Xenopus tropicalis: one gene and its partner. The protein of the gene in region 1 binds, or shares a complex with, the protein of each later gene. Links are inferred from orthologs where the notes say so. Each region holds a gene or a part of one and is shown on either strand. Other genes may lie near its edges. The genes, in order: vps54 and vps52.

Region 1 (11,563 bases):
CCTTTTTATAATGGCTGAATGTACAGGTAGTATTGAAAGGAAGGAAAGGTTAAATATAGAAAGAAAATTATTTTGTTCCATGATTCTTCTTAAAAAGAAGGTTAGTGGCATTGAGCACCCCAGAAACTGCCTACAGTTTGTGGGCAACTAGTGTTTGTTGCAAACAAAACATAAAGTAAAAGAGTAAAGTCAATCCAAATATCTTGAAAAGTATTCAGCTTTTTAGATTTCTGCAGGTGTCAGCGTTATTATGTGTTATTTTATTTGTAATAAAAATGCAAATAGCATGTCAGCGGCCCCTTGCACGCAGCATTTTTCACAAAGGGCTGTTTATAATCAACATAAGCAAAAAAAATGCTTATTATCACAACTAATGCCTTCAAGTATGGAAGCAGGTTTTCTAAAGTGTCAGCTCTTGATAAGGTTTATTACTTGTGCTTTCCTTGTCTATGTAATAAAAATGCAAATAATAGAGCAGCCCTTTGCAAAGTGTTTTTCCCAAAGGATATCTCAGAGGGAAAATATTATAGTGTTTGTGTGATGAGCAGAGCCCTCACCCTTTTAGAGTTTAAGCAGTGATTGCTCTTTTATTGCAGAATTTTATTAACCACACAATACAGAACCAAAATTATTCAGAAAATGATATGAACTCTGGGCTGATTAATCTGTAGTGGATAGCCAAAGTTCTAGTTTTGCTAGCAAGGATTTGGCATCTTTGTACATTAAGGGATTTTATTTTAGATGCAACATTAAATCATAAAAAATGTTATCATAAAACTGGACAGTTTGAGAAGCACTTTACTAGAATATCTCACCTGCATCACACAAACATACACACACTTGGGCCAATTACATGAGAAATTTGTTATTCTGTGAGCTTGTTTTTCAAGTGTGGTAGGAGGCCCTTCCAAACGTGCAAACTCTTTTCCATGGTTGGAACAGAAGTAGAATCATATAGAGGGGGATACTTTCAAGTGGATCTGTTCAAATTAGACCGTGAGATTAGGTGCACTGCCAAGAGCCTTCCTCAGAGGGATCTCATATACCAAAATAGGTGTAAGGCAGGCAGGTGATGTGGTTGGAATTGAACTCGGTACCCCAGTACTAGCTGTACTAGCCATAGTAAAGGCAATGCTCTCTGAAACATTTATCTTTGAAGGAAGAGCAATCACCCTGTAAATTTATTTAAAGTAACAGGAAAGTATCTATTAAGGGACCCATGCATGCTGTGGCAGCGCTGCATGTATTTGTATTTAGCTATTTTGCACATGTTAATAGTACAGGTGAGAGGAAAAAAAGGTGCAACAAAATTTTGGAATTGGGAGCTTTTCCTGTCTATGCAAATAGTTTTACCTTCTGGTGGTGCGACTCCCTGACCCTAAGGCCACGTCAGTCAGTGTAGTTCAGTGATCCCCAACCAGTGGTTCAGCAACATGTTGCTCACCAACTCCTTGGATGTTGCTTCCAGTGCCCCCAAACCAGGTGTTTATTTTTAATTCCTGACTTGGGGGCAAGTTTTGGTTGCATAAAAACAAGATGTACTACCAAACAAAGCCTCCTTTAAGCTGATAGTGTGCATAGAGGCTACTAAATAGCCAATCACAGCCCTTATTTGGCACCCCCATAATTTTTTATGATGTTTCTGTAGCTCCCCAAGTCTTTTTACATTTGACTGTGGCTCGCGAGTTAGAAAGGTTGGGGATCCCAGATATAGATAAAGGGAGCTCTGCACACACCAATAATTGCTGCTATGTTAGCTTTATTATACCATACCAAATAGAAGTCATTTGTACAGCAAATATTGGGGAGAGAAAGGAGGTCCATGCTAACTATTTACCTCTTTTTTTTTTTAATTTTCTGCTTCCAGGCTTACTGATCAGATTCGGATGATGAATTTTTCTCAGTGGTTTGGCTTGCTTCAGAATATTTTTTCTAAGTTTACAATTTTTATTGAGAGAGTTAAGGTAAGTGGGAAAAAAAATACATGTGATGGCATCTTATTTGTCCATAACACTCGTCTGCGGATTTTTTTTAGACATATGGGATTTGCTAAATTGGTTGCTTCAGCCAAGATGTTTCCCCAGATTGACATCATGCATTACTTTTAAAAGTCTCCCCAATGCAGAGTTGCTCAGCGGGGTTGGCGGGCAGCGCTTCAGACCCTCTTCTGTCAGATTGGCAACACTTTGCATGCAGGAGCATTCAACTGTTCATGCAACTGTTCGCCCCACAACAAATTTTCATTGCCTTGGGCGACTAATCTCCCCTCAATGCCATCCCCCCGGCAAGAATGTAAATCGCCAGTGGGATGGTATACGCGTTGCTACGATTTCCGAAGTTTCCTCTCAAGGCAACGCATATGCCATCCCACTGGCAATTTACATTCTTGCCGGTGGGATGGCATTGCGGGGAGATTAGTCGCCCGCAGCAACGAAGATTTGTTGTGGTGCGACTAATCTCCCCGTCTGCCTCTGTCCTTAGCTGCTGACCTCTGACAGAAGAGGATCTGAAGTGGCACAAATGGGTGCCTGTCAGGTACGAAGATAGAGGCCCTTTGGCAGTAAAAGGTGGTGCGGGGGTTGGGGCAGGGTTTTGTTCTCCTTCAGCCAAAGAAAAGCCACTTTCAGCAATAAAGCCACTTTTAAACACTCGTATACATGTTCTGTATACAGACTGTAACCTATAGTGATAGAAGAACTAAAGCTCAACAAATAATAAAAGCCAGAAATGCAAAATCTGTGCCTTTAGAAATGCCTCCCCATCTTATTTTGTGCAGCCACTGCACATGTACTGGGCTACACTTAGTTGCCTGAGCTTATGAATAATATCATTCATTGCAGTGTGCATCAGAATTGATTAATAACCATCAGCATCCATGACACATGCAGCCTCTCCTCTGCTGATGTTTCAATGATTTCCAACAACCCCTAAGCTGTTGATCACGGGCACTGAAAAGATGGCATAAAAAGTTTCAGAATAAGGGGGGTTGATGTGACCAACATTACAGGCATTGATCATAATTGTTAAAGGGCTGTTAAACCTCAGGACATGCAGAGTAAGATTAAATACTGTAAATGTAACCCTTCAGGGAGATGCTGTACAGTTTCCCTTTCTGTTCTTAAAGCTTTGCTATATCTTCTGTTCTCATTTAATTTGCTGCAAGTGGTACAGACTTTATTTAGTATAACGGCTATTTCTTTCCCTGCAGGCAACGCTAAGCGTCATCCGTAATGTAGTGCTCATGGTTTTAGACAAAAATCAGCGGGTGAGGGAAATGGAAATGTTGGCAGCTCAACAGAATCTCAGAAGAGAAAGCAATGTGGACAATGAATTGGCGTACTTGACTCATGAAGGCTTATTTATAAGTGATGCTTTCGGTGAAGGTGAGCTTCCCAATGCTGCTACCAGCACTAACTTTCAAAGGAACACATCACCCAGCAGTAGCGAGCCCTCTGGCAGCGATACAGTATCTGATCCTGAGTGTACCACAGACTCTTCTTCCAGCAAAGAACACACACTGCCTTCTGTTACCCAAGGGGGAATAGAAATAATGTGAGTAAAACTAGACTTTATAAACTTAACCTGTGAACCAACACTGTACACTGTGCCTTGTTCAGGGAGCTGTGCCATATGGATGATATTAAGATGAGCATACCAGTGTGCCGATCAATTAATTTACCTTTTTATGGCAAAGAGCACAGAGTAACACATTTTTACTCCTTGTACCTTATGTACTGAGCATTTAGGTTGTAGACAAAGTAGTCGCCACCACTGTTTTGGATATAGCCTGAAGGCTTTTATAGGTGTTGTATTACAGGTATGGAAACTGTTATCCGGAGAGCCCTTATCCAGAAAGCTCTGAATTACAGAAAGCCTGTCTCCCATAGACTCCATTATAATGAAATAATTCAGATTTTTAAAACTGATTCCAATGGGTCCTATACCTGTACATCCTTTTTGAAAAATATATAACATATTCTATTATGCATTTGTTTCAGATCTCTTTTAACAGATTCAAACAAATGGCTGAAATGATAGATTATATAATAGATAAATAGAAAAAAAAAAACAAGTAACACATTCTCTTTAGTCACCAATCCCCATATTTTATATAGACCTTCAATAGAAGTCCTGACACTATGGGGAATTTAGGGAAAGTATAGATGCCCCTCTTGCTGCAATACAGTCCATAAGCTCATTTGGACATGCCAAAGGCAGAGTAATTAAAAGGAACAAAATACTCCCTTTTTTGACATAAGTTGGGTTTATGTCTGCATTCCAGGGAATCTGTGCCCTGCCCTGCTTGGAAAGCAGAGGGACTTTAAGTTCAAGAATCTGTCACTTCCTAATGGAACACAATGACCCCTAAGGGTGGTGTTGAATTGAGTCTTGCTAGTCAGGCAAAATATCATGGTTTCCTCAGTCTGAGAAATCAGGTATGTCTGTATACAAAAAAAGTATATTTATATCTGACATTTCAAAAAACCATGCAAAGACTATATGCTTATTTATAAGTTTAGCCCATGCTTATTTAGTTATTACCTATATGAGCGAAGTTATATAGGCAATAGTATTTAACTACCCCCTCTTTTGGTCTTTGAGAAACAGTCCAATAAAATTGCCACATAATTCACAATCTCACATATGTAATAAAAGGCACTAAGTTTGCCCAGGAGCAGTAACCCATAGCAACCTATAAGATGTTTGCTTGTAAACAGGTGACCAGTAAATGCTACCCTCTGATTGGTTGCTATGTGTTACTACTCATGGGCAAACTTATTGCTTTTTATTACATAACCACAAATGACTTCAAATCTGTACATGACTGATATAGGGGGGTGGGATTGCATGTTAGATTTGCTGAGCTCCTATATTTTTAATCACTTCTCTATGGTTCTGTGCACATCTGTAGAATGTTCAGAAGGGTAGTTCACCATTAAAGTGTTATTGTGATGTGGAAAGTGGTATTCTCCAGTTAATTTCATAAGCTCCCTTGTCGATATCTAGATGACTTTTGTGTGTGCAGTAAGGTGACCCCCGAACAATGATTTTTTTTTTTTTAGTCTAACTGAAGAAATGAAGTTAACTGACCTGGAACTTGGTAAAATTGCCAACAGTATACAGGAGTTACTGTATGATGCCTCTGACATCTGCCATGACCGCTGCGTCAAGTTCCTGCTAGCGAGGGCCAAGGTAAATAACAAGCCTCTGTTTTATTACTAGGATGTACTTCACTTCATATCTGCCAAGGCTTTGTTGTAAGTGAACGTTTCTGCCTGGATGGCGTTTGGCATAACTAGATATTACTGGGCTCCACAGCAGATTCAATTTAGTGTCCAAAACATTTGTATGTTGGCCTATTCTATAGCTTATTATTTACTACAATAAAACATTTGTAGTTGTCTACAAGCAGAGCATAATATTATGGACTTCAAAACATGTTCTCAATTTAACAATATTATTAACATTTGTTTAATCTCACATATGTAATATGTGTATATATATGTATGTATGTATGTATGTATGTATGTATGTATGTATATATGTATATACAGCCGATCAGCAGAACAATGGGAAGGTAGCAAGATAGCAGCTCCCAGTAGGTATCAGAATAGCTTTCCATATTAAGAAATCCAAGTCTGGCTTGGGGTTCCTTCAGTTATATGGGAGTAGGAGAAACAATAGGTTACCTGAAAGCAGTTCTAATGTGTAGTGCTGGCTCCTTCTGAAAGCTCAGACTCAGGCACAATGCACTGAGATGGCACCTACACACCAATATTACAACTAAAAAATATACATTTGTTGGTTCAAGAATAACATTTTAAATGATAGAGTGAATTATTTGCTATGTAAACAGTGTAATTTAGAAATAAAAAGTATATCATAATAATCATGACAATCCCTTTAATGTTACTGGTAGTTGTTAGGCTTCCCTTTTGAGCTTAACTCTGTATCTCCATTTCATGATATTCTCAATTTGTTTTCCTTATCAGGAAGGGTTTCTTGAGAAGCTAAACTCTGCTGAATTTGTGTCCCTCTCACGGGCAGTGGAAGCATTCGTTTTGGGTACTGAAAAGATCTGTGGCCGAAGGAGCATGTCACTGAGAGGGGCACTGCAAAGCCAAGCCAACAAATTTGTAAATCGGTTCCATGATGAAAGAAAAACCAAACTGAGGTAAAGAGCAACCACTAACACAGTGTGCCATGTAGTATCCGTTTTTTCTCTCTATTTTATTGATCTGTAGGATAAATACACTGCAATTAAAAACACTGTGCAAATGGGAAACTTGAGGCTGCTGGTGCAAGCAGTGCTTTTTAGATATTGAACAAAATCATGATTTGAATTGGAAATGTGAATACACCAAAACTAGAACTTTTCAGCAGGAAGACTCTTACATTCTGTACTGGCACTTTCAGGCTTTTTCCATTCAGTGACAGCCTAGTCTGTTAAAGAAGACCTAAACTCTATATAAATTCACCTATTTACTCATAAGGGGTAAATTACATTACTGTGAAATGCTATTACGAGAGTGCTATGGGACCCAAGAGTATGCCCCTTAATCCTTACCCTAGCAGGCAACTTTCACCTGGGTTAAGCTGCACTCTGTTCCTTGTGCAAGTTTGGGGGCAGATGGGTGGATGCCTATGTGCCACCCCAATTCCTGACTCTCACCAATACAGGAATGGCCAGAGAGGAATGGCAACTCCTGAATGGAGCACAGAGGCCTGTAGCAATTTACACAATGCAGAGCACAGTGTGCAAAGTGCAAAAAAAAATTCAGATATCTCAGAAACAACTAAAATAGAAAAATAATGTATGGTGCAAAAGTGCTCAGAGATGCACCCTGATGAAGTTTACATAAATGTATTTTCTGGGTTTAGATTCTCAGATATCTTGAGTTTGGACATGTTATTGGCAAATCCCTCTTGGGAACCATCCTCTCATTGAGGAGGAGGTCAGCAACTATTGTGCAAAAAATTCTTCAGCTCCTACTTGCAGTGGTGCTATGTACCTTGGCCTCTGTTTGTCATGCTATTTCATATTACAGGTATGGGATCCTTATCTGTAAACATTTTAATCAAATAATTCAGAATTTTAAAACTGATTCCCCTTTTCTCTGTAATAATAAAACAGTACCTTGTAATTGATCCCAACTAAGATATAAATAATCCTTACTGGATTCAAAACAATCCTATAGGGTTTAATTAATGTTTTATTGATTTTTTTAGTAGACCTAAGGTATGGAGATCCAAATTACGGAAAGACCCCTTATCCGGAATACCCTTGGTCCCGAGCATTCTGGATAACGGGTCCTATACCTGTACCACAAATCGTTAATTGATTGACTAAAAACAACAGAACATTTTTGGATCCCCTCTACTGGTTGCTCTGTGGATATTTTGAAGACCCTGCCTTAATACTGGGTTAATTAGGACAGGTTTGGGGACCTATACTATAGTATATGTACAATTCTAGGTTGGGAGAGAATTCATTACACAAAACAAGAATGGTGCTAGCGTTCCACATTACCCTAAGAATAGTAAAGCTGGATATGTTCTAAAGTAACACTTTTCTCCCCTTATAGCCTCCTGCTTGATAATGAACGCTGGAAACAAGCTGATGTCCCTGCTGAATTTCAGGACTTAGTAGATTCTATAAAGGACGGTAAAATAGTGCTTCCTGAGCGAAAATCTGGAGGTACGTTTGTTTCCTTGAACTCGGCATATCTGTACTGCACAACTAGTTTAAAGAATAAAAATGTTTTAATATTTGTTTTACTAAAGGAGAAATTAAATCTTAAAAGGGGTCTTTTTGTTCCACATACAGAATGTGGTTGTTTGGCTCTGTGGCACAATCCATTATTTTTTCACTGAATAGCACATACATCATTACTTGTAGAGCCTTGGTGAAGATGGTGCCAGTCTATTCATGGATAGAATCCTAGTTTGCATAGAGCTGCATAAAGCTAGCCATATGAGTGCTGATTCTTATACAGTCCCATTTCTGAGCATATGGACTGAAAACTGATATGGGCTTTTGCTCCACACATTTATCCACTACGTTCTATAGGAGAAGAGCTAATTACAGGGCTTTTACGCAGAATTTTCTGTTGGTGCTGACAGTTTTGGTACAGCCATGCTTGAGCTTGGCACTCTATATTCACACAAAGCCTGCAATTTTTCAAAATCATTATTATGAAGTTGGATTTTGTGAACTAAATGCTTTTTATGTGTGCTTTATGTTTTCCTTTTACTGTTATTATTAAATTAAATTATTGAAGCCATCATTTTAGAAAACAAATGGGATAGAAAAGTTTGCTGTTTTTGTTATCCTATGTCAGTTACCTGCTGCCATGTTCTTCAGCGATATACACACTGGTACAGTGGGGTCCTTCTTCTCTAGAGCGTACAGACTTTACCTGCCTAAATGAATAAGGCCAAATGTAGTGTTTTTCTGCTAAACCCAAACTTCTCCATCAGACTGTCATCGTTAAAATACTGTTCCTTTGCAGCAAATGTTTTTAACCAATTCTTTTTTTCATCAGGTACAGAAGAAAGGAAACCCACAGATTTTCTTACAGTGGACGGACAGAAGTATGCAGTTGTTGGGTAAGCTGCATTTTTAAAGGAATACTGTCACGGGAAAACCTGTTTTTTTCAAACCGCATCAGTTAATTGTACTGCACCAGCAGAATTTTGCACTTAAGTTCATTTTTTAAAAAAGCAAACAGATTTATTATTTTTACATGGGGCTAGGTTGCCTTACTTTTCCAGCCACAGCCATGTGCTCTGATAAACTTCAGTCTCTCTAATGCTGCGCTGCAATTGGAGTGATATTAACCCCCTTCATTTTACCCCTCAGCAGCCATTTAGCTAAACAAGATAGCATAGTGCTTCCCTGGGCTATTAGCACTGCTGCCACTGTCCTGAATTTTAGTGAGTGGGTAAACAGGCAAAACTGCCTATACTGCCTCCCAGTGATTTAGGGCTTTATATTTATATATATATATATATATATATATATATATATATATATATATATATATATACATACATACATACATACATACATACATACATACATACATACATATATATATATATACATATATATATATATACATATATATATATATACATACATATATATATATACATACATATATATATATACATACATATATATATATATATATATATATACACCCATATACACCCATATACACCCATATACACCCATATACACCCATATACACCCATATACACCCATATACACCCATATACACCCATATACACACATATACACACATATACACACATATACACATATACACACATATATACATACATACATATACACACACACACACTCCCTCACGCTATGCACTTGTAAACAATGGTACATTGACTTCTGTGAACAATAACTCCAGATCCTAAATACATTATACAGTAAGAGGCAGAGTCCCAAATACTGAATACAGTGAGAAATACTTGATACAGTGAATACTGTATACAGTGAATACTTTAGCCCAAATACATTAAGCCCCATATAGATTAAATACAATGTGAGGAAATGATTTCTGACACCTCAGACCCCCTCTTACCCTTCCAAAAAGCAGGTATCCTGAAGGCTGGATAAGATTTCAGCATTGGGGAAACCAAATGAATTCTGGAATGGTTTGCATTACTAAATGTGGTTTCATGCCCCATCTAGTGGTAGATATGAGAATAGCACCCAGGCAGGAGAAATCCTATATTCAACTTGGGTCATATTCATAGTACATTGAGTTGGGAGAAACAATCGTTTATCTAAAAGCAGTTCTAATGTGGCTCCTTCTGAAAGCTCGGAATTTGGCACAATGCACTGAGATGGTGCCTACACACCAATATTACAGCTAAAAAATTTATTTTCCTGGTTCAAGAATAAAATTTTAATTGTAAATGTTAAAGTGGATTATTTGCAATGTAAACAGTGTCTTTTAGAAATAAAAAGTACACGATAAAAATGATGGTAGAATCCTTTTAAGGTGTAAAACAGTGATCCCCAACCAGTGGCTCAGGGGCAACATGTTACTCACCAACCCCTTGGATGTTGCCCCCAATGGCCATAAGCAGGTGCTTATTTTTGAATTCCTGGTAAGGAGGCAAGTTTTGGAGGCATAAAAACCCAATATAATGCCAAACAGAGCCTTCTATTGGCTGCCAGTCCCCATAGGGGCAATTAAATAACCAATTATAGCTCTTCTTAGCACCATCAGGAACCTTTTTCATACTTGTGTTGCTCCCCAACACTTTTGATTTAAATGTGGCTCATGGGTATAAACGGTTGGGGATCCCTGGTGTACAATGTGTGTAAATCAGATTATTGTCATTTAGCACTAATGCACCCCTTGTATGTCTTGCAGCACAGTGCTACTTTTGATCAGAATCATTCTCGAGTACTGCAGCTGCGTAGATGATATCCCCTCTGTAACTACAGACATGTTGACTCGGCTGTCTGATCTTTTAAAGGTACCCTGTCAGTTTTATTGCTGCTCAGTGTCATGCTTACAAAATTCTGTATGAAATCTGTTGATTAAATATATTACAATAGATGTTCCTCTCGTTACCATAACAAAGGTACATAAAGCTCTTTAATGACTAAACCTGCTGCTCGCATTACCATTGTAACATCCATGCATTTAATGTACCGTTCTTGCTGTGGGCTTTAAAGGAGAAGGGGAAAGAAAGCAAATTATTGGAATCGGGGGGCAAGTAGAATGAGCAGGGAGTGGTTTATATTGTTTAGGAAGAATAGTGGTTTATATTGTTTAGGAAAAATATACATGAGTAATTATTTGCTGAGCTTTAAACATCCAGCTTTGTGTTTTCTAAAGATCCTCCTTTTCAAACTCTGTAACAATCATATAGGGCTATGCAGAGAGTGGAAATAAAAGGCTGGAAAAAAGAAATACAGAATATGTGAGAGGGAGCGGATATTGTGTATGAATTGTGTATTACCTTCTATCTGAAAGTAGCAGATGTGGCTGATTTCCTGCATAGCTGGACAGGCAAATAGATCCTTAGATTTCCCTATTATAGCACACATTATTTGAAAAGGGTTGTTTGCATCAGAAATATTAAGTATCTAGATTTGATGTACTTTATAAATCCAGCATTGGGTTCACCAAATGTCCAAATCCTATTCCTGCAGTATTTGGATTTAGACAGATCCTTAGTATTCAGCCAAATTGGATATGTACTTAAGTGTACTGGACAACTGAAGGGGATAGTTTCCAACCATTTATGTAATTTATTTTCTGTATTTAAAATACTAATAAACAAATAAAAAGGCACATAACTAAATTTACTGAGCGTTTTATACTGCTTATGTAACCTCAGCACCCCCTGCTGTTCAGCCTGGGCAAGGGCAAGGGCAAGGCAGGTCTGCAAAGGTAGTTTTACTGAAGTACGAAGCATCTCCTGATACTTGTAAGCTTAGTTCTATTACTCCATGTGACCGGAACGTTGGATGTGTCAGGAAACACTTCCTGTATCAGTAATTTAAACCTTTTTTGCTCTT
Region 2 (10,363 bases), on another chromosome or scaffold:
ACAGAGAAATTTTAATTACAACCAACTACCCTGGAGTTAGTAACTCGACTGGGTAAGGGGTGGGGGTGAGGCCTAGTGGTTCTCTGACATGCTGCTAGCATTTAATATATGTTTGCCTGTTGGACAGGCATTGGATAATCTAAATTCTATTGGATTGTAATTAAGTTATAGTCATGGTGGCACAATTATGCTAAGAGATTCTAGCTCTTCTATACATAGAGATTATGTTTATGCTGATGCTGGATTATATTTCTGTGTATGTTAAGAAGACAGTCTTGATACTTTTTAATAGTGTATATATGTGCTATAATAGGACACTATTTTTATATATTGTCTTCATTAATATTCTGCAGATACTGGGATGCCCTTCTGGACATGCTGTGGCCCAGGTTTCAGCTTATCCTAGAATTAAACATTCAAAGTATTCGAAACACAGATCCACAAAGGCTGGGCACTGTTGATACAAGGCCGCACTATGTAAGCAGTAAACATCTGCCTATCTCAGGAAAAGTCTTGATAAATTTACTGGGTGTAGTAACACAAATACATCATACTATGCAGAAGTTTAGGGGTTGTCAGAAAATATTAGCAGAAAGTGGTGTAAAATCTGTTGTAGAAGCTGATGCAATACTGGGCTGATTACTAATCATTTTAATGCAGAATGCTGTAGTTTATGTGCTGCCATGTAAAGTGGTTCTAATGTATTACTGATCAGCCTTGTATCATCAAATTTGTGTTTTGTATATAGATACTGTATATAGTGGGTTGGTCCCTAATCTCAGCCGTGGTTGCCTTGGGCTGCTACGGAAGCCCAAAACATAAAAAGCATTAAAAGGATTCTATCATGATTTTTTTGGAATACTTTTTATTTATAAATGACACTGTTTACATAGCAGATAATTCATTCTACCATTCAAATTTTATTCTTGAACCAACAAATGTATTTTTTTAGCTGTAATGTTGGTGTGTAGGCAGCCATCTCAGTGAATTGTGCCTGAGTCTGAGCTTTCAGAAAGAGCCAGCGCTACATAGAACTGCTTTAAGATAACTTATTGTTTCTCCTACTCCCATGTAACTGGAGGAGTCCCAAGCCGGACTTGGATTTCTTACTATTGAGTGCTATTCTGATATCTACTGGGAGCTGCTATATTGTTTCCTTCCCATTGTTCTGCTGATCGGCGGCTGGGAGGGAAGTGAGATCACTCCAACTTGCAGCTAAGCAGTAAAGTGTGACTGAAGTTTATCAGAACACAGGTCATATGGCTGTGGCACCCTGGGAAATGAAGAATATGGCTAGCCCCATCTGAAATTTCAAAATAAAATATAAAAAAATGTATTTGCGTTTTTGAAAAACATGGATTTTAAAGTTCCACTCACGACCCAGATGAAAAAATTTACAGTCTGTGTCAATCTTACCCTTTACTGCCAGCTTGTAAACGTTATAATCTGTAGTAGTGAGTTAAAGAGCAAGTGGGAAGGTCAGTTTCACAGTCCATTAGAGGGTTGTCCATGTACTTGGTCACTTGCAAGCTTGACCTCTAAACCACTTTATACTGCACAGCTCACAGATAAACCCGCTGGTGCCACATTTTAGGTACAAAACCTAATTAATTACAGAGAATTATACAACATTACATATGTGTCTAAAAAATAAGCTATGAAAATTGTTTTTTTTTCCTTTTAGATAACCCGTCGTTATGCAGAGTTTTCCTCAGCCATCGTTAGCATAAACCAGACATTTCCAAATGAGAAGACAAATGCCCTGCTTGGACAGTTACAGGTACTAACCTTATATGAAGAGAATTTGGAGAAGGATTATAAAGTGTGATGTGGGATTCAGCCATCCTACACTTTTTTAAGATATAAAGTAAAACCCAGTAGGATTGTTTTACCTCTTATAAGGATTAATTATATCTTAGCTAGGATCAAGTACAAGGTACTGTTTTATTATTACTAAGAAAAAGGAAATCGTTTTTTAAAATGTTAAGTATTTTAGTAAAAAGGTCTACTGTAACTCAGAGCTTTCTGGATAACGGGTTTCCTCATAACAAATCCTATATCTGTACTAGTTATATTTTGGGTTATGTGAAAACGTCATATTTTTTGTACTCTATGAATAGGTAACATCAGTTAACTAAGAAGCTTCTTATGGGCAGTGACAAAGCTCCAGATTTTGAGTATGTGGGGGATATAGTGCTCTAAATGTGACTTGCTAGAGAAATATTAGATTCTACATGAAAAAGCCCTGGAGGTTGCCTATTGGTAGTTTTTCTTTTTGACTTTCTTTTAGGTAGAAGTGGAGAATTTTGTCCTTAGAATGGCAGCAGAGTTCTCATCAAGAAAAGAACAGCTAATTTTCTTAATAAACAACTATGATATGATGCTCAGTGTCCTTATGGTGAGTCCCACTAGTTTGCAACACATTAGATGTTTGTGGCATTTCACATAAGACAAGGTTTAACACTAGCAATGTGTTCATTTCCTATGAAATCTGACTCATCCAATTCAAGTTGGTTTCACATGTAATAAATTAATAACTATACACAGTGAACCTCACACTAGTCTGTAATGTCTATTGGGAGATATTAATCCGACATACAAACAAGCAGAGCTATAGTTCAGATCATTTACAGTTTTTTTCACTGCCATCTCTAGGAACGAGCATCTTCTGACAGCAAAGAAGTGGAAAGTTTTCAACAGCTGCTGACTGCTCGAACACAGGTTTGTAGCCCCTTTGTGTTTGTATTATTACCTTCTACACCATGTATTTCATATTGATTTTGTCCTTGTACTGTTTAAAATGCCAGGAGTTTATTGAAGAGATACTCGCTCCATCATTTGGAGGAATGATTGCATTTGTCAAGGAGTCAGAATCTCTAATTGAGAAGGGACAGCAGGAACGACTCAGAAGTGAAGAGGGTACAGGATGTTTGTATTTTAACAAGTCTTACTATTTGTTTTTATTGTCACTCACTGCATAAAGTAACGGTCTGAATTTCTTGTAGCACGTGTTGCTCAGCTTGTACGGGGGTTCTCATCAACATGGAAACAAGCAGTGGAGAATCTGAGTCAGGATGTTATGAGGTCATTTACCAACTTTAAGAATGGAACTAGCATTATACAAGTAAGGGAATTAGGAAGGGCTATTTAAGAGAGACCTTTATTTGGGTTCTTCCTTTTATTCTAACTCTCTCCATTTTTACAGGGTGCATTAACACAGCTGATCCAGTATTATCACCGCTTCCATAAGATACTCTCCCAGCCGCCACTCAGGAATCTGCCTGTATGCTCAGAATTAATAAACCTGCATCACCTAATGGTTGAGCTCAAAAAACATAAGCCTAATTTCTGAACCCAAGAAGGTAGAAGTAGGAAGTATCATAAAACTGATTCTGTTACCTGTGTATATAACACTAATCTGAGATGCATCAAGTGATGTAAATTTCTTAACAATGAAAGAGCAAGTGCTTTTGCCTTGCTAAGTCAGTAAGATACCTGTACCAACAGGTAAACAGGTAGCTCCACCAAATGTTTGAGTTTAAATATATTTAATGGCATTCTCTTCCTATGCTTAACTATTGCTTGTAAAATCATGCCAGAACTAAATGTATGGGTAAAATAAAGTTTACTACTGGTAACAAATCTTGGATAAATATGTATAGTTTTATGTAGTCTCACAGCATGAAGAAAATGTATAATTTCCTGTGCAGTCATTTGAATGTTATTGCAGCTTATCCATTCCCCGGGGACAGTGAGGTGCTAATGAGCAATAGCTGAAACAGGCCTGTGCAGATTGAGAACACTAGCTTAGCTAGTAGAAAGTACAGGGGTAATACATTCTAAATGCATAGGGGTTTTAATGTAAAATGCCACAACTTAAAGGAAGATGCAGTTGCAAGTCCTTTGTGGACACGATAACACATTCGTTGTAAAGGAGTTATGTTCTTTACTAGAAGCAATAACAGACAAGGGTTCCAAAGTGCTATGGCTACATTTTTATACCTGTATATATATATCTACACACATCTTTGTTTTAAATTATCCACACAGTTTAAGCAAAAATAGATACAAACCAGTATTAAAAGCCACATTTACTAAAATGTTACAAAAGAAAACGTTGCTCTGTGTCAAGAGCAATTAACATACAATACAAAGATTTAGAGTTCCCTCCATCGCTTTCTATTAACATTTAAGTGCAAGTAAGGCTTAAGAGAAACATCTGAGACCCAATTATGTAGCTTATGTTTGAGATAGTTCCAATAAGCCTATAAAGACACCAGAGCACTCTCTCTGCCAGTCAATATGTATGTCACAAGAAAGTCTTGCAGGCTCTTTAAACACAGTATCTAAACGAAGGCTGTTTTACTACACTGGAATGTTACATGCATGTTATCCAATCCCCACTCTAATAATATATCTTTTAAAAGAGTAAGGAAGAGATCTAAAGTACTAGCCCTCCAACAGCTACCTGTATGGATGTCCATACTGAATGTCATTCTTTTAAAAGAGATTAAAGGACATGTCAACCCCAAAAATAATTTTTTGCTTAATTAAAGAAAACTTAATTCTTAGCAACTTTGCAATATACACGCATTACATATTTGCAATGGGTTTCTAGTTATTTGTATGTATATATATATTTGCTATTAAAAGAACTGTCTGCCTGTCCTTTCTATTATCTGCTCTGGTCGCTCTGGCATTTGAAACAATGTAACAAAACACCAGCAGATTTTACAGACCTGACTTGCTGGAGGAGCCCGGCACTTGCAACATTGTTTAAAAAGTAACAACCAGGAGTTCAGCAAATGCTGCTTTCTATAGAAATTACATTTACTAATAACTTTTAATAAGTTGATATTAAAAAGTTGCTTGGAATTATGTTTTCTTTTATTAGGCAAAAAAATTATTTTTTTAGTAGGAATACCCCTTGTTAAACATGGATGCAATGAATAGGGCTTAAGTTTAACATACTTTTTCTCTATTGTTTTTAATATGGTTTTTGCCCCCTGTTCTATACAGGATAACTGAAACTACTTGTTTGGTCCTTGTAAGGTAGCAGATTACCAGTGTAACAGTACCTTCCTTGCCCCTTTTGACTGTTTTGCCAGCAGGAGTCCATTATACAGAGGATTGTTTGTGTGCTAGTAATTTAATTAAATCCCTAGAAGAACCAACCATGGAGCAGCTTCAGTTTTTCTGTTTGTCCTGATTAGATGAAGAATAATAACAGAAACCATACATTTATTTTTGTGAATAAAACAATAGGCAAACAGTGCTGATCTTTGAAATCATATCAAACAAGGGGATATTGGCCGTTTAACTGAGTGGGGAAGGAAAAGGTTTGAGTAACATTTAATAAACACCCAGCAAGGATCATGGCCTATACCCATCTTTCATTTGCAAATATGAAAGTGATATTGCTACTTCACAGAGGAATATTACAGTACTCCCAGACAGTATAATTACATTGACAAAAAAAAAAAAAAAATTTTTTGGCAGAATGTTTAAATATACGGTGTCTATATTTATATTGTGGGGTGCCATGTGGGAAAACCAATGAAAACATATATTATAAATGACAGGGTACAAATAAAATTTGGTGAAATCTGGGTAGAGTTGCATGAAGAGCTTGGTATATTAGACTTATCACTGCAAAGCTGGCAGTTAAGAGGATTAAGAGTGGCAGCTCCAGCCTTAATTCTTTCTTGGATCTGTGCTCCTTGCTGCTTTTGCAGACATCCGGGTGGTATCCTTTTATAGGCATTCTGACGGGTTCTTTTGTTTCTTTAGGATGAACCATACATGCAGTTCCTTTCAGTGTGCTTAGAGAATGTCAGTATATTTCGGCCCCTCTCCAGTTTTGTTTATGAGTACCATTCAGATGTGGGGCTATGCAATGAAAGGGCACTGCTGCCTGGTGCTCGTCAGTGTTTTGGTCATTAGTACCTGCTTAATCCACCAGTTTGGTTCTCAAGATATCAGACAGGGCTTATAATCCATTGAATAATAAGGTGTTGGCTTAGGGATACAAGTTAAATACAACTTTCCATCTTTTAGGGTACTCTGGTATACCTTTAGTTGAAACGGAAGCCACAGCTGCTAAACGCTCTATTAGGATTAGAGGAAAATAAAGCAGCCTCACGCGCCTCCATAACAGGTGGATTCCCTGTGGAATGCTTGGCACAAGCATATAATGCAGAAGTCATTATACAGGCGGCAGCATCTTTAATGTGAGTCATTTCATCCATGAGACTATTTCTGCTCTTTGGTTGGAGCATAATAAAGCTCCAGCGGTTTGCTTACCTTCCAATACTTTTCATTTACCAGCTCAAGTGTTAAGGAGCCATTCAGGGTCTGATAAAAACAAACAAACAAATGATGAGATACACATTAATGTATGCATAATTATCCACGTATTTTCGAAGTTTGTTTTTAAAAACTTAATGCAAGTAGTTAATAACAGCTGTCAGGAAGCATGAATTTATTCGGGAGAACTAGCTGAACCCATAGATGTTGTGGAATTCTGCCAACAAACACAGCAATTAGGGCAGTTTGGCAGCTCTTTAGGCCACCTAGCCCATAACTGATCTGTGTCCGAGTCCATCGCTTTACGCTGCACTCCAAATAAAGCAAAATGGTTGACTTTTAAACAAAATGAAACAATTACAGTTCTCATTTGTTCCTTCTGAAAACAAAAGTAAAATGTGAGCCAAGCTAATTACCTCAAAATGAAGCAGTAAATATAGATCTAGGATATAAAAGTTAAAGGAGAAGGCTAAGTCACTTGGGGGTGCCAAAATGCCTTTTATCCGGGCTGGTGCGGTTCTCCTAACAGGAGCACCAGTCTGGGGTAAAAGGTAAGCGCTTAAAGTCACTTGGGGGTGCCAACATTTTAAAGAAGCCTTTCCTTCTTTAAAGGGGGAAAAGGAAACAATTTGAAACAAGTGCTGTGAAGCAGCAATCAAGCTGTTAAATTATAAATGTGGTAAACAAAATCATCCCCACCTTACATACTGACGTTTGTATGTATGTATGTATGTATGTATGTATTATACAGCACCACAGGGCACAATCACAAATGGGAATATATACTCGAGTATAAGCCTAGTTTTTCAGCACCCAAAATGTGCTGAAAAAGTCACCCTAAGCTTATACTCGAGTCGGGTGCAATGGGTCCCTACAGACTAGCACCCTCTGTCCTTTGTGTCCAAATTAGGCCACCTGCAACCAGACCCTCCAGTGTCTGGCCTGCTCCCAAATTCATCTTCATCTACTGTCCCATTCCGCACTAGACATTGCACTTTATATTCTATATAAACCATAGTTTTGAAAGATTTTAACTCTTTGTGTTTTAGCTTGGTTGCTGATTGAGCTAAGGGGGGTAGTACTCTTAAGGTATCATTGTTGACACCATATTGTTTTTGTTGACCTTCTTCTCCACTTACAGAGCTAGTTTACTGGTTTTTCTTTGAAATAAATATTTAAAGGCATATGCCCCACTGATGCCTCATTTAATGTAATTTTATTGGTATTTATTTTGATTGAAACTTAGCAGTAGCTGCTGCAGTTCCCACCCTAGGCTTATACTCGAGTCAATAAGTTTTTCCAGTTTTCTTAGGTAAAATTAGGTACCTCGGCTTATATTCGAGTATATACGGTATATAGTAAATACCACTGTGCAAAGTTTGGGAACCCTGGTTTTAATAGTGTCTGAATGGCAGCAATTTAAAATTTCCCCATTGAAAGTCAGCGAGTGACATCTGATTGGCGGTCGGTGGCTCCGCTCCTTTTCCTAACCTGGAACTGCAGTTACCCAGTGACTAACTCTGCAAAGTTTAGGGACACCAAGATTAATAGTTAAAGAACGGCAGCAGTTTCAATTTAAACCAATAAAAGTCAATAGGTAAATTGTGATTGGTGGGTGTGCCCGCTTTTTCTAACCGAAGTCACCCAGTGACAAACAGTGGGCACCCTGGCATAAATAGTGAGAGAATAACAGCATTTTAAATTTAAACCAATAAAATTCAATGGATTAAATCTGATTGGCTGTTAGTGGCCCAACCCACTTATCCTATTTTTGAACTGCAGTCCCCCAGGGACCAACTGTGAAAAGTTTGGGGACCCTGACATTAAACATGTGAGAATGGCAGCAGTTAAAATTTCCCCACTGAAAACAATTAAAGAAATGTGATTGGAATTTGGCGGCCCCGCCCATATTTTCTAACGTAGTCACCCAGTGGCTGACTGTGCAAAGTTTGGGAACTTTGGCATCAAACCAAAAAAAGTCAATAGGTGAAATCTGATTAGCAGTTGGTGGCTCTGCCCACTTTTCAAAACTAAAACTGCAGTCCCCTAATGACTGACTGAAAAGTTTGGGGACCCTGGTGTTAATACTGTGAGAATGGCAGCAGGTTGACTTTCCCCATTAAAAGTCAATAGGTTAAGTCTGATTGGCACTTTTTCTAACCTTGAACTGCAGTTACCTGGTTCCTAACCCTACAAAGTTTGGGGACCATGTTGTTATTACTGTGAGAATGGCAGTAGGTTAAATTTCCGCCAAGTCAATAGGCTGTTCACAGCTCCACCCACTTTTGGGCATCCAACAATCATTATATTTCCATTCAGGCTGACCTCATGACTATGGGGTTCAAGTTTTCTTTTTCCTTAAAGAAACAATGCAAAACTGAACAATCCTGATTTGCCTCTTACTCATTTCAGCTTGGGTAAATCTTGTAATAATGCGTTAGAATTTCAGACACGGATAAGAGAATCTGAAAACAAGTTTCTTCTGGCCTTTGTTTCTAACATACAGTAAAGTTCAATACAACAGGTGGGTAAAGCACCAGTAGTGCCCTGGGCAGTGCAGTACGGACCCACTCCAGTTCCATCACCAACCCAAGCAAACTCCATCCCCCCCCCCTCCTTCCCATTTGGGAACTTTGGGCCCTTGGTAACCAGATAAAATGTATGATAAGAAAATCCAAAATATATTTACCAACCACATAAAAAATACAAATGTTTATAATACTCAACATGTCAGTAAGTGGGGCCTTTTATTTTCTTATACACGAATGCATATTATATATATACTCACAGTATACTGTCCACCTGCAGCCCCTGTAGAGATGTAGATGGTGTATTGCTTCTCGCTAACCTCTCCCAGTGTTACACCTTCTGCTCCCCCACGAAGAGCCTCCTCCTCCAGAGCAATGCGCAAAGCTAAATATTTTGATAGGTGATCAACTGTAGCATTTGCAGTGGTCTTTACATACCTGAGAAATATTAAGGTTGTATGAATCGGAGGGCTTTAAATCAAACTCCTGCAAGATACATAACATTAGAGGATTTATTAATCCCTTTACTTGTTATGCAGTTGGTGTCCTCATCATGCTTTTCTGGAAATTATTACCCAGCATCGTCCCAGCTTTTAGCATACTGACAATGTTTTTTTTTTTTTAACTCATTTGTTTAGAAGCATTCTTACCTAGTCTGACTATAACCATCTTTTTCCACTAGTAGGGGGTGTGCCCTGAAAACCAGTTCAATCTCACTACCAGTCTCTCCTCCACCTGGAGGATCAGGGCTCCTTACTCCACCTTCATGTGAAAGATCGGGTTCTGCTCCGGAATCTTCAGAGGCTCGAGATCGTTTACGACTAGGCCCTGCTTCCTGATTGCTGTGCACTGACGGGTTGCTGACATGTGAGCGGCTGTCGCAGTTGTCTTCCCCACCACTAAAAGTAGTGTTGTCGGATTCATGCTGGTGTTTGCGAACTCGCTGTGCTCTGGTAATAGGAAATGTAAAAAAAGAATAATCAAGATATTCTGCAGATGTATAATCAATGCCATTTCCTTAGCCCAGGCAAGCAATTTGTCAGCTCCCACTTAACTACCTGTGCATAGCTTGCATTTTAAGCCCTTCTTCAATGCTGCTGCTTAGTGCTTGCTGGTTATGTAGACGGCTTAACTTTGCCAGGACACGATCTTGATGTGCCTCATACTCATCCCTACTTGGGTAAATCTTGGAAATCAGTGCATCAAAATTTGGGTCAGGGCGAAGAGAACGTTTCGAGACCAGCTTCTTCCGGCATGTAGGACATTCTTTGTTCCTAAAAGGACAGAAGCAAAATTCTAATATTAGCCAACAATTAAGAAAGAGTATGCAATTAACAAAGGCACACTAATATTGTAACAACTTACTAGGGTCAAACTGGGTTGCCGGGGCACAGATAAAAAACACATTGGGCCCCCGGCGGCCCAGACCTGATCCCTGCAGTGCACTCCACTAATCCTCAGTTTTCTCTCCGCCGACGCGCTGCAGGTAAGCTTCATTTATTCATGCTCTGGGGAAGCGGTCGGACAGG

What was found.
Region 2: vps54 (region 1) and vps52 share a complex: the UniProt entries of both Homo sapiens proteins name them as parts of the golgi-associated retrograde protein (GARP) complex. The link is inferred for Xenopus tropicalis from reciprocal best matches to the Homo sapiens genes VPS54 and VPS52.

What each region holds. Positions count from the first base shown.
Region 1 is NC_030681.2:32,637,734-32,649,296, forward strand, and holds part of vps54 (vacuolar protein sorting-associated protein 54), read left to right. Parts: intron 1-1,867; coding exon 1,868-1,964; intron 1,965-3,208; coding exon 3,209-3,552; intron 3,553-5,063; coding exon 5,064-5,193; intron 5,194-5,993; coding exon 5,994-6,175; intron 6,176-7,586; coding exon 7,587-7,699; intron 7,700-8,546; coding exon 8,547-8,610; intron 8,611-10,406; coding exon 10,407-10,512; intron 10,513-11,563. UniProt on the Homo sapiens protein: Acts as a component of the GARP complex that is involved in retrograde transport from early and late endosomes to the trans-Golgi network (TGN).
Region 2 is NC_030684.2:72,047,214-72,057,576, reverse strand, and holds the end of vps52 (vacuolar protein sorting-associated protein 52 homolog), read left to right. Parts: intron 1-353; coding exon 354-477; intron 478-1,684; coding exon 1,685-1,780; intron 1,781-2,290; coding exon 2,291-2,398; intron 2,399-2,655; coding exon 2,656-2,721; intron 2,722-2,807; coding exon 2,808-2,919; intron 2,920-3,005; coding exon 3,006-3,124; intron 3,125-3,205; coding exon 3,206-3,352; 3' UTR 3,353-4,575; downstream 4,576-10,363. Other genes in the region: E3 ubiquitin-protein ligase RING1, read right to left, coding at 6,253-6,354, 9,095-9,272, 9,485-9,784, 9,893-10,108. UniProt on the Homo sapiens protein: Acts as a component of the GARP complex that is involved in retrograde transport from early and late endosomes to the trans-Golgi network (TGN).